3 linked regions of the Nothobranchius furzeri genome follow. The protein of the gene in region 1 purifies or fractionates together with the protein of each later gene. This does not show direct contact. Links are inferred from orthologs where the notes say so. Each region holds a gene or a part of one and is shown in the gene's direction. Other genes may lie near its edges. The genes, in order: tepsin, isca1 and ap4m1.

Region 1 (4,150 bases):
TTTAATATTCAAAGCTACACTTCAGGAATAGTACTGAGCAGGTGTCGGCATGTTTGCAGGCACTCGGAGAACAGCCTGGTGTGCACTTTAGGACATCCTCAGGTCTCAGACATCAGACAATAGAGGACAAAAAATCTGGTTTCATTCAAAAACCCAGACGTCTAATCAAATAGCATCAGACGAAAAGGTCTCAGGAAAAAAGTCTGTCTGATGACACTAAGTAGTTTTTCTTTCTCTGTGGTCTGATGTCTGAGGACGTCCTAAACACCAAACTGGTGTCGCGAAAGACATCAGATTAAATAAAGATTAAAGTCGTTTTCTCTGACTGATTGGAGCATCATCACTGTTGATCAATTTCCCTCTGGGATTAATAACGTATTTTTGAATTGAATTGAAGTTCCTTGTCACACCAACCTTAAGTCACCATCCTGACACCATGATCCAGGTGTGGGGTTGGCAGGTGGACAAACAATTCACCCCTCACCTTCTGACTGATTAGGAAGATCATGGACTGTCTCCAGTCAGGATTTGAACTTAAAGTCAACAGTCCAGATGTTGACTCTGCACATTATGGTGGCTGTACTGATCCCTCCTCAGTAGCAAAGCGTTTATGCATGTGTATAGTTTAAAGGGTAGATTAATCTCAGGTTTTAGGACAAATTGATTCAAAGTATTTTACAGATTAAACGTGTCTAATAAATAAAGCAGAGCTCTACGGGGCATTTTAAAAACAATAAAGTTGAAGACTTAACTTTCCGTTTAACAGCAGGCGGTCTAAATCCTCTGAACCTGCCTTTATGAGAGCTCACCTCATCCGCACACTGAGCAAACACTTCAGAGAAGAGTCGCAATCTCTCCCGGTTTCGACTCCACACATTATTAGACCCAGACATGTTGCGCATCAGACAGCAGCAGAGGAGTCCTTTGTGTTGTTGTATTAATGAATGGTGAAAAATATTGTTTGTCATTGGTTTAAATGCATTACAAAAAACCCCAAAAACATCTTAAAAGCAATCGGGTAAGTCACCGACAGCGCCATGTTGGTGTTTCCTTCACAAAACTACATCCGGGTCAGATATTCCTATACGTGATAGGCTCGCGTACTTGTCAATCTAAAGAAAACGTCGGAGGTGGTGGGAAAGCGTTATTAAATTTAATTGGCTGTTTGAATCGAGCTGAAAGCCAATAGAAATAATTGCTGCTACTGACTAGTTCGTGATTGGCTGTCAACTAAAGTCCCGCCCTCCTTTAGCAGCAGGAAAATGAGTAACCTGCAGCTTGGTTTGCTAAATCATGGCTTCATTTATGGAACGAATAGCTTTTCTTCAGAAAGTAAGGAACATTTACATACATTGTTAGTTAGAAACGCAAATAATATCTAAGAAGACTCTGACAAGTGAGACGTAACGCTGACGTGTCTGTTTAAATCTGTTTTAGCTAGCTACTAGCTAACATCAACATTACTAGTCTCATTGGAAATGTTGGGTTGTTTCTTTAACGTTAAGTCATCCTGTAGTTATTTTATGATGTTTTACAATTAGCCAGTCTTCTGGACACATTTATCTAAATATTAATTCCTTTAATTGAAGGTTCCCATCCTGATGAAAGCTACAGCAGATGATGAAACGCCCTGTCCTGGCTACGTTTTCCAGGAGATTGGCAGTATCCATGTTGGCATTGATACACCTGTTAATGTGTATATACACATACATATATAATCATATAAATGTCATTGTTATTATCTGAAACCAAATTAATCTACTGCTGCTTTATGTGTACTGTCTTGTCAGAAATCAATCTGAGTCTTGTTTATTACAGATGAAGGTGGATTTGTAAATCAGGCATCACACCAATTGTTCATTCATCTCAGATCAATGTTATGCAACAGCAAAGTGAAAAGGGCTGTTATAGTCTGATTATCTGACTTTAACAGTGAGCATCTTGCAGAAATCTGCCACGAGTCTTTAGGTTATGGTCAGTGTTTGTTGGAATACCTTCTGGAGAGGCTCCAAGTCGAGTCCTGCCATGTTAAACTAAAGGTGAGAGCTACTAATCTGTAGCAAACATTTTCGATTCCTCTGTGTGATTAATTCTCATCTTATCTCTTGTGAACCAGGTGCTAAAGATCTTCGTCCATCTCTGTGGTCATGGATCGAAGCCTTTCCTCACGGAGCTCAGAAGGAATTCCACCTTCATCCAGCAAGCATCAGGTGAGATTAGAGCACTTCATCTGCTTTCCATGATGCTGGAACAGGGTTATAATCTCAATATTAACACTGCTGGATGGCTTTTCTTTTATTAGTTTACAGTGGTCCCCCTGATCCCATCCATGGCACAGCACTTTACCAGAAAGTGAGAAACACAGCACAGGTGAGGCACTGAGGTAAATCTTTCAGGTCAGTGTTAACAGCCTGACAGCATCTCAGCAACCGTTTGGCTTTTCTTTTACAGGAAGTGGCTCGTTTACTTTTCACAGATGCAGTTTCTGTCAAAAGCAGCATAGCTCCTCACAGCATAGCACCCCCGACTATGGGTGAGTAAACATATATGCTGGGATGTTGATTCAGAGTGGGTTGTTCTTCATTTTTAGCTGTTTTGGTAATAATGAAATTAACAACTGAGGTAGCAACCATGAGACAACGCCTCAAACAGGAATGGTTTTGCAGGTGGAGGCGCCAGACATTTTCTCCCTCCTCATCTTTTTTGACTGCTGCTTCTCAGGAGTTTGCCTGGGGATCAATTTTACTAATAGTAGTGTCAGGCCATTCCTACAGAGCTTGCACTGGTAGTCCTGCTCCATCAGGAGACAGTTAGGAGTGTTGGACAGGACCATCAAACAGGAATGATAGTTTGATGTTGGGTCCATGTTATTCCAGAGAGACATAACCCTAGTGAAACACACAGACCTGTGCAGGATAGATGATGGCGCCCTGGTTGTCTTCAGAATCAGGATGGAATCCTTAGACCCTTTGCCGGTGCAGTGGGTCCTGGGTTCGTGGTGCATGAAAATGCCCGGCCGCATGTGGTAAAAGTATGTAAGCAGGTTCTGGAGGATAAAGCATCGACTGGCCTTCACACGCACCTGACCTAGATTCAACAGATCATCCATGTGACATCATGTGTATGTCCATTCAACACTACTAGGTTGCACCTCTGGGAGCTCAGTGATGCCTTGGTCAGGATCTGGGAGGAGAAACCCCCAGACACCAATCACCACATCATGAGGAGCATCCCCTGACGTTGACCATTCTGAGCTGCTGCAGTGACATTCCTTACATCTTTTTTTCACTTTTCCATATTTCTCTTGAGCATGTGGGCGGGGCAAAAGACGCACGGAAAAAGTCTGTGGTGTCTCCCTTAAACAAAGGCCATGCAGCTCGAGGCACGGCAATGCTGTGTGTGTGTGTGTGTGTGTGTGTGTGTGTGTGTGTGTGTGTGTGTGTGTGTGTGTGTGTGTGTGTGTGTGTGTGTGTGTGTGTGTGTGTGTGTGTGTGTGTGTGTGTGTGTGTGTGTGTGTGTGTGTGTGTGTGTGTGTGTGTGTGTGTGTGTGCATACGCTCCTCACAGCATTGAAACAGAGAGCTGCCGCAGCTTCAGTCAGAGGCGACCAATGTTTACGTCTCAGCATCCAGAATACTGAGTCGCACCTGCGGGAAGCTCCCGCCGGTTCGTTCTATCAGCCAATTGGAAGCTCCCCTTAACGCTGGGCGTGTATTTGAACCGGCCAATCAGTTGGCATTGGGTGTGTTGGACCTGTTCAGCTTGAAACAGACCGCGTTGATATGTAGGCCAAAAAACTGGTCGAGCATGGATAAATACACGGCCACCTAGATGTGAACACTTTAAAGCTACCCAGTCCGGTCCATGCTGGCCCAGATGTGAAAGCACCATATGTCTCTTGGCTGGTCAGGAAACACCTTAGGATTCCCATGGAGGAGCTGGCTCAAGTGGCTGGGGAAAGGGAAGCCTGGGCCTTCCTGCTTGGGCTGCTGCTGCACGACCCGACCCCAGCTAAGCGGCTGAAGAAGGATGGATGAAACTTCTGTGGTTTTATTGTTAATTTGATCAAAGTCAAACACTGGAACTCTGCTTGTCTAATGTCTTAAGGCACACACTGTGGGTTCTTTCAGGTTGACATGAAAACATAATTC
Region 2 (4,185 bases), on another chromosome or scaffold:
GCGGTCAATGGGCAATCAGGCGGGGTACACGCCGGACAGAGAGCCAGTCCATCGCAGGGCAACACAGAGACACACAGGACAAACAATTCTATCTATCTATCTATCTATCTATCTATCTATCTATCTATCTATCTATCTATCTATCTATCTATCTATCTATCTATCTATCTATCTATCTATCTATCTATCTATCTATCTATCTATCTATATCTATCTATCTATATGTCTATCTATCTGTCTATCTATCTATCTATCTATCTATCTATCTATCTATCTATCTATCTATCTATCTATCTATCTATCTATCTATCTATCTATCTATCTATCTATCTATCTATCTATCTATCTATCTATCTATCTATCTATCTATCTATCTATATCTATCTATATCTATCTATCTATCTATCTATCTATCTATCTATCTATCTATCTATCTATCTATCTATCTATCTATCTATCTATCTATCTATCTATCTATCTATCTATCTATCTATCTATCTATCTATCTATCTATCATCTATCTATCTATCTATCTATCTATCTATCTATCTATCTATCCATCTATATATATATATATATATATATATATATATATATATAATACATACACACACACACACACACACACACACACATATATACACACACACACACACACACACACCCACACACACACACACACACACACACACATATACACACACACACATATACACACACACACACACACACACATATATATGTATGTATATATATATATATATATATATATATATATATCAGTCATTTAAAGCAATTAATGCAATTTAAAGCAATTAGGGAATATTTTAGAAGATTTAGCAAGATAATTGTTTATTTATTAGATTGCTGAGTTGGTTCCATTCACATTTTTCCTGAAATAATATGAAAATTCTAGGAAAGATATTTCGAGAGAAACTTTTAAATAAAAAGCTGTTAATGAAAAGAATCCTGGCACGTTTTGAAGATGCCTTCCTCTGTTTTTTGGAGGGGGGCGGGGTGTGACTGAGGAATAATTAGGAGGCAACGGGAACATAAAGTCCAAAACAGTGTGTGCCATATGGCTTAAAAATACAAAGAGAAAGTAGTCTGCTGTCAACGTTTTAAAGATAAGGTGGAATCGTTAAATAGTTTAAAAAAAAACAAATACACAGGGCTGCCGTTAACTAAGTGAGAAGAACGACTTTGTAAACACAAGTGTAATAAAAAGGTTATATAACAAAAGAGGGGCGAGACGTTCATTCGTTATCTCATTTGCTGTTTCACATGTCTATCAAAATATCAGCCAATCACCGATCGACTGGCTTCAAGGAGGCGTTACCAGTTTGGTCTCACGCATGCGCAATTCTATGTTATGATTTTAACAGTAAACATGTCTGCCTCCTTGGTTCGAGCGACCGTCAGAGCGGTCAATAAAAGAAAGATATTACCTACAAGAGCCGCTCTAACGCTCGTAAGTTCATCCTTTTAATAAAATATGAAAATAATTTACATTTAATCTTTGTACGTATATGTTTCTAAGGTGCGGTATTTATCCAGCATCCACGATCTAGTGCTACTAATTGTGTACCTTGGCTAAGTCAGTTAGCTAGCTAACAATCCTGTTCTAACGTCTACGTAGTGCGTACTTCCTGCCTGTCATAGTACATTTTCTTGTTATGGTTAAGGATTTCTTTTAGATTAAACGCATATTAGACAGCTTTCATAAGTGTGACAGTTGAATTTATGTTTATGTATTTATTTAGCAGACGCTTTTATCCAAAGCGACTTACAATCTATAACCTATAGGGCATGTTGTGATCTGTGGGGGAAACCGGAGTACCCGGAGGTGAGGGGGAGAACACGCAACTCCACGCAGAAAGGCCGCAGCCGAGTTTCGAACCTGCAACCTTCGTGCTGCGAGGCAACAGTGCTAACCACTGCGCCACCATGCGGCCCAACTGCGCCACCATGCAGTAAAGTGCTGCTGATTTTAACTTTAGTATTAGAACCAAAATAATGCAAGAACGCTAACGAAGCTGAGGTTCGGTCAGAAAGAGAACATCGTCATTTCTACAGACTGTAAACAAACATCTCACAAGGGAAAGCCCTGCCTAGCGCGCGGCAGGAACGGTATCTCTCGTTTCCTTCAGTACAAATAAAATTGCACAGTCGTTTTTCATGTGCTTTTAAAGAAAATAGTGTCAGCTGACACCTGTTTTGCAGCAGCTATGCTGCACAGCGAGCTATAACTTTGATTGATAAATAATTAACTACAAATTATAAATGTAGCATTTGACATTCATTATGCACAACTTTTGTTGAAAAAAGGTATTGTGCTATTGATATGGCCTTGATTATTTAAAACAAGTGCAAGCATATACTAATTTATAGGTTTTACCTAATAAATTGTAGACTAAAATGATCAGCATTAAAATAGTTTATGTTAAAGCAATGTTACTCAGTTTTTGACCAGTCTTCGGTTATATTAAATTAACACTAAATCAAATGAAGACAGCTGAATTAAACAGAATTTTGCCCCTTTGAGGCATTTCACATCTAATTTCTGTCTCAACTAAAATGCATTGATAATATTATGACAGCTTATTCAGTAAACAGTGTGAGCTGTCAGTCCACTCACTTTGTTGTTAACAGGTGGGCGGTTTGAAAAAGTGCTGATGAGGAATTTAAGCTGACGGACTCTGCTGCTGTGCGATAATGTGTTTATGTAGTGGCCGGAGCAGATAACAGTAGTATGCTGAAGGAAGGACTACGTAATGAGACGCGACTCCACACACAGCAGGGGACAGCTGACAGAAGGGGTCAGGGTCGTTCTTTTGTAATTACCGACAGGGATCGTGTTTGTAACACCACTTCTGTTGGATTTCTTTCATTTATTTTACACACATTAAATTTCAACTTAAGACAAAAGAAAAAACAATTTTTATTTATGCAGCACATTAGACGTTAAATGCTAATCTCATAGGGATTAACACTTTGAAGCCAAGTATCGCTCTCAAATGCCTTCCAGCTGCAGCCGAACCTTTCTTTTTCTCTTTGCAACTATAATTCCAAGTTTTTTATTTATTTATTTTTTATTAAACTTCAGTTTCAGACCAGCTACAGAGCCTCTGCATCACATGTGTGAAAGGGACCAAAACACCATCCATTACAACACATTTTGTTGCTATGTTCCTGTTTCTTCCTGACGTTTGTCACATACAGTTACAGATTTTTCAGGTTTAAAAAGCTTCGTTTTGAATCCACTTCACTCTGAAGCTTGGTTTAAAACTTTGGATTAACTTTCTTCTTTCTTCTTTAGTCTCCAGCAGCTGTGAGCAAAATCAGATCGCTGCTTCAGGACAAACCAGAATATGTGAGTTATTAAAAGTCACTGAAGTTCATTTGGAGGACAGTTTGTTTTTACTGTGATGTTTGAGTCCAACTTATTGACACTTTTAATAAAAACCACATGGATATTGTAAAATGCATAAGAAAAGAAAATTTAAGATCATTTTTTACAGGGTATCTGCGGGTCCTTAAAAAGTCTTAAGAAGTCTTAAATTTGCTTTTCCAAATTTAAGGCCTTAATAATCCTTAAAAATGACAAATAATCCTTAAATAGTTTCCAAAGGTCTTAAATTACCAAAGACCCATTAAACAAAATTCTTTTATTTCTATAAAATTTTCGTGAATTTCTAGTTCAGCATTTTTTGTGTACGAAGTTGGCGTAAGCGGAACCGTACACATTCAGCTGGTTGTGAAAGGGGGCTGTTTTTAGATGAGCACATTAGCTGGTTAAGCTAGCGGGAGCTTGCGCCATGGGGAAGTGCAACATTAATGGTAACTGGATGGCTAATCCCACGTTCGCCACATGGTTAGCACTGGTTCCAGGTAATAGCTGGACATTATAGCTTAAATTTAATTAAAAAAATAGCTTAAATTGGGTCAAAGTGGCCTTAAAAAAGGTCTTAAAAGGTCTTAAATTTGGCTCCCTTAAACTTGCAGATACCCTGTTTTTAGGCAGTGAATATCTTAAAGGGCAAGTTCAATGAAAAGCCAGTTTTGTGAAATACAATCAGTCATTCTGAGGTTAACGTGCAGGCTGAACGTCAAAATAGTCTTCTACCCCTAGTTCCCACATTAGCTGCCGATGGAAAGTATACAGGGAGACACTTGGAATAGAGA
Region 3 (3,651 bases), on another chromosome or scaffold:
TCCCGGAGGGAAATTCAATTGTTTCAGTACACACAATTCTGAGATCAGACATACATACATAGACACATGACAAGAATTGGTGACTGTGGTCATTCACAACACGAGTCGCACTACTGTTATAGATCAAGAGGGTTTATATGAGGACAGAGGCAGGGGGAGGGAAAAAAAAGGCACTTCAGAGTTACCCCCGACAGAGAGGATAGCTTTGCTATGCAAAAACCACCTCAGACATATATGCACACAGACTTTAGACGATACACAACATAAGTGTCCACTAGGTGGGGAGGTAGGGTTGGGACTCTCCTCACTTCAGGGCGTGCAGCCGCAAGAGCAGCGCTCATCACCTCCATTTGGCCCGGGGAGGGAGATAATGGGTTAGAGAGCATATTGGATCCTAGATACGGTTCCACGGCCTTCACCGGTCACAGTCCTGCCCAGGCTGGGATAGGGAGAAAGCCCATATATAGCCCATGTCACACACAAACGGTAGCCCAATGTGCCTCACATAGTTAAACAATCACAAGGTAAATGAAGTAGTTAAAATGTCACATCATGCTGTGTAAAGTAAAATCAAACAATATTTACACAGAACAAAATACACAAAAATAAAACATATTAAGTCAAATTATTTACTTTAAAATATAGAACAAAGATAAAACATCACAATATGGGCATACATCTAAAATACATCTAAAATACATGTAGAATACATTTAACACAGCATAGGTAAAGACCTAGTAGACCACAGGTAGGTCAATGGAAGGCGTCATGAAAAAGTTTGGTTTTTAATCTAAATTTAAAATGGAAATGTGGGAGAGGTCTTTATGTCTGTTGGAGGACAGTTCCGGAGATGGCCCACATAGCAGCTAGAGGCGGCCTCTCCGTGCTTGGTGCGGGCTCTGGGTTGTACCTGTTGGAATTGATCTGCTGACCTGTGAGTTTGAAGGGCGGTACGTTTCAAACATCTCTGCTATATACAGAGGTCCTTGGCCATTTAATGATCTAAGAGGAAGTAAAAAGATGGCTACCCTTTCTGCTGCAGGGGGTTTTGATGAAGGCCGACGTGGAAGGAGAGGTCAGAGTCAAATGCTACATGCCCAGCTGTTCAGGTGAGATTACAACCGAGTCCAGTGTCCTGGTCCATTCCCACATGGGTTCTGGTCCATTCTAACACGGGTTCTAGTCCATTCTAACATGAGTTCTGGTCCATTCCCACACGGGTTCTGGTCCATTCTAACACGGGTTCTGGTCCATTCTAACACGGGTTCTGGTCCATTCTAACACGGGTTCTGGTTGATTCCAACACAAGTTTCCTGTGTCAACAGAGATGAGGATTGGTTTGAATGAGGAGTTCAGCATCGGGAAATCACAGCTTCGAGGTAAACCTGTGCTACGGAACCCCTACATTTGGTCTATCGGGTGTGGTTCTGATCAGCAGATCTGTTCAGGTTACGGCGCTGCGGTCCGAGTTGACGAGTGCAGCTTCCATCAGATGGTTCAACTGGACGAGTTTGACAGCCACAGAATTCTCCGGTTCTGCCCGAGTCAAGGAGAGGTATCAACCTGTTCCACTCTACTTTCTAGGCTTCTTCTCCTCTAACTGACTCGTCTGACCCCCCTTCCTCTAACTGTCTCCCCCTCCTCTGACTGACCCCCCCCCCCCCCCCCCAAACTGACTCCCCCTCCTCTAACTGGCTCCCCCTCCTCTAACTGATTCCTCCTCCTCTAACTGGCTCCTCCTCTTCTAAATGACTCCTCCTCCTCTAACTGTCTCCCCCTCCTCTGACTGACCCCCCCCCCCTAACTGCTTCCTCCTACTCTAACTGACTCCCCCTCCTCTAACTGGCTCCCCCTCCTCTAACTGCTTCCCCCTCCTCTAACTGGCTACCCCTCCTCTAACTGACTGCTCCCCCTCCTCTAACTGATTCCTCCTCCTCTAACTGGCTCCTCCTCTTCTAAATGACTCCTCCTCCTCTAACTGGCTGCCCTCAAATAGAAAATGCAAGTGCTCATTTTAATTCCTCCCTACTCCTCCTTCAGCAAACGGTGATGCAGTACCAGCTGTGTGATGACCTCCCCTCGGTGCCGCCGTTCCGTCTCTTCCCGACCGTGGAGAGAGACGCAGCTGGGAGGTAACCAGCAACAATTGGTCTGGACTCATCCAGCTGCTTTGACATCATGCAGATATGATTAAACAAGAGATGACCAGAACCAGCTGGGGCCAGCACCCACACATACATCAGAATGTCATGGCCATGATTGCAGGCCTTAATCCATCTTGCTCAGTCTGTCCGCTTCACTTTTTCCCTCCTCTCATCGGCGTCCTGACGAAGCCCGTCTGTTGCATATTTCACCTGTCTCCTTCTCTTGATGGAGCTACCAGACTCACCTGTCTGTCTGTCTGGCGTTGACACAAGCTAAAGGTTTTGTGATGGGATGCTGATGACTTACATGGTGTAAGATAATATTATACACAGACTCACACACTCAGTTGTTTAGAAATGATTTTGATTTGAATGTTTGAGCCTCTGGAGCCTCCTGGTCCACAATGAGTGATGAAGCTTTTCCCCCTGTAGGCTGCTGATGTACCTGAAGCTCCGCTGTGATCTACCACCTAAGAGGTCAGTCCCAACTATATTCTGCTGACTCGGTAGGTGTGCTTAAGTCAGTCCAGTTGTTCCAAACTATGGTGGAGCGTGAGATTTATAGGTGGATTGGTGCTGCATCTGCAGTGATGCGGGTGTTGTACCGATCTGTCGTGGTGAAGAGAGAGCTGAATCAGAAGGCGAAGCTCTCAATTTATCTGTCGATCTACGTTCCTACCCTCACCCATGGTCACGAGCTTTGGGTAGTGACCGAAAGAATGAGATCACGGATACAAGCGGCTGAAATGAGTTTTCTCCACAGAGTGGCTGGGCTCTCCCTTAGAGATAGGGTGAGAAGCTCAGTCATCCGGGAGGAGTTCGGAGTAGACCCGCTGCTCCTCTACATCGAGAGGAGCCAGTTGAGGTGGCTCGGGCATCTGGTCAGGATGCCTCCTGTACGCCTCCCTGGTGAGATATTCCGGGCACGTCCAATCGGGAGATGACCTATAGGTAGACCCAGGACACGCTGGAGGGTCTATGTCTCTCACCTGGCCAGGGAACGCCTTAGGATTTCCCCAGAGGAGCTGGCGCAAGTGGCTGGGGAGAGGGAAGTCTGGGCCTCTCGACTTACCCCAAATTCCACTACCTCCGCTCCAGTCCGCCCCCGCCTTCCGCAGCCGCTCGCTTCCGAACTCAAATTATACTATACCCGTTCTATAACGGCTCTGCTCCGGTGCGGAGATCGGAGGTGGGCAAACAAGCTTGCGCGGGATTTTCGAGATCTTGCGATACAGTCCGAGCAATAAACGCGGAAGTTAGATCCAAACACCCGTTGTGTGGGAGAAGCATCGGCATGAACTGTTTAATCTGCCCGTCATTTGTGTTGAGAGATCAGCTGTGTTTGGATCAACAAAGTGTGACTACTTTGATAGTGGAAACTGTATTTATGGCTTACTTTTGTGCATTTAAACTTCAGCCGACATTGATAGTTGTTAAACGTTGTTAAACATGTGCATATGAAACAAAAAACGCTTTTTGTTTATCGATTTATTGTGAAAAACGGAAG

The links.
Region 2: the proteins of tepsin (region 1) and isca1 purify together in Homo sapiens (co-immunoprecipitation; 3 studies listed by BioGRID and IntAct, with this or other methods). This does not show direct contact. The link is inferred for Nothobranchius furzeri from reciprocal best matches to the Homo sapiens genes TEPSIN and ISCA1.
Region 3: the proteins of tepsin (region 1) and ap4m1 purify together in Homo sapiens (co-immunoprecipitation; 3 studies listed by BioGRID and IntAct, with this or other methods). This does not show direct contact. The link is inferred for Nothobranchius furzeri from reciprocal best matches to the Homo sapiens genes TEPSIN and AP4M1.

The regions. Positions count from the first base shown.
Region 1 is NC_091756.1:28,830,867-28,835,016, reverse strand, and holds the start of tepsin (AP-4 complex accessory subunit Tepsin), read left to right. Parts: upstream 1-1,215; 5' UTR 1,216-1,293; coding exon 1,294-1,332; intron 1,333-1,589; coding exon 1,590-1,662; intron 1,663-1,947; coding exon 1,948-2,039; intron 2,040-2,116; coding exon 2,117-2,210; intron 2,211-2,302; coding exon 2,303-2,370; intron 2,371-2,451; coding exon 2,452-2,533; intron 2,534-4,150. Other genes in the region: ndufaf8 (NADH dehydrogenase [ubiquinone] 1 alpha subcomplex assembly factor 8), read right to left, coding at 810-968. UniProt on the Homo sapiens protein: Associates with the adapter-like complex 4 (AP-4) and may therefore play a role in vesicular trafficking of proteins at the trans-Golgi network.
Region 2 is NC_091757.1:56,837,441-56,841,625, forward strand, and holds the start of isca1 (iron-sulfur cluster assembly 1 homolog, mitochondrial), read left to right. Parts: upstream 1-1,359; 5' UTR 1,360-1,372; coding exon 1,373-1,471; intron 1,472-3,319; coding exon 3,320-3,373; intron 3,374-4,185. UniProt on the Homo sapiens protein: Involved in the maturation of mitochondrial 4Fe-4S proteins functioning late in the iron-sulfur cluster assembly pathway. Probably involved in the binding of an intermediate of Fe/S cluster assembly.
Region 3 is NC_091750.1:26,790,736-26,794,386, forward strand, and holds part of ap4m1 (AP-4 complex subunit mu-1), read left to right. Parts: intron 1-1,042; coding exon 1,043-1,109; intron 1,110-1,325; coding exon 1,326-1,379; intron 1,380-1,448; coding exon 1,449-1,555; intron 1,556-2,040; coding exon 2,041-2,132; intron 2,133-2,576; coding exon 2,577-2,621; intron 2,622-3,651. UniProt on the Homo sapiens protein: Component of the adaptor protein complex 4 (AP-4). Adaptor protein complexes are vesicle coat components involved both in vesicle formation and cargo selection. They control the vesicular transport of proteins in different trafficking pathways.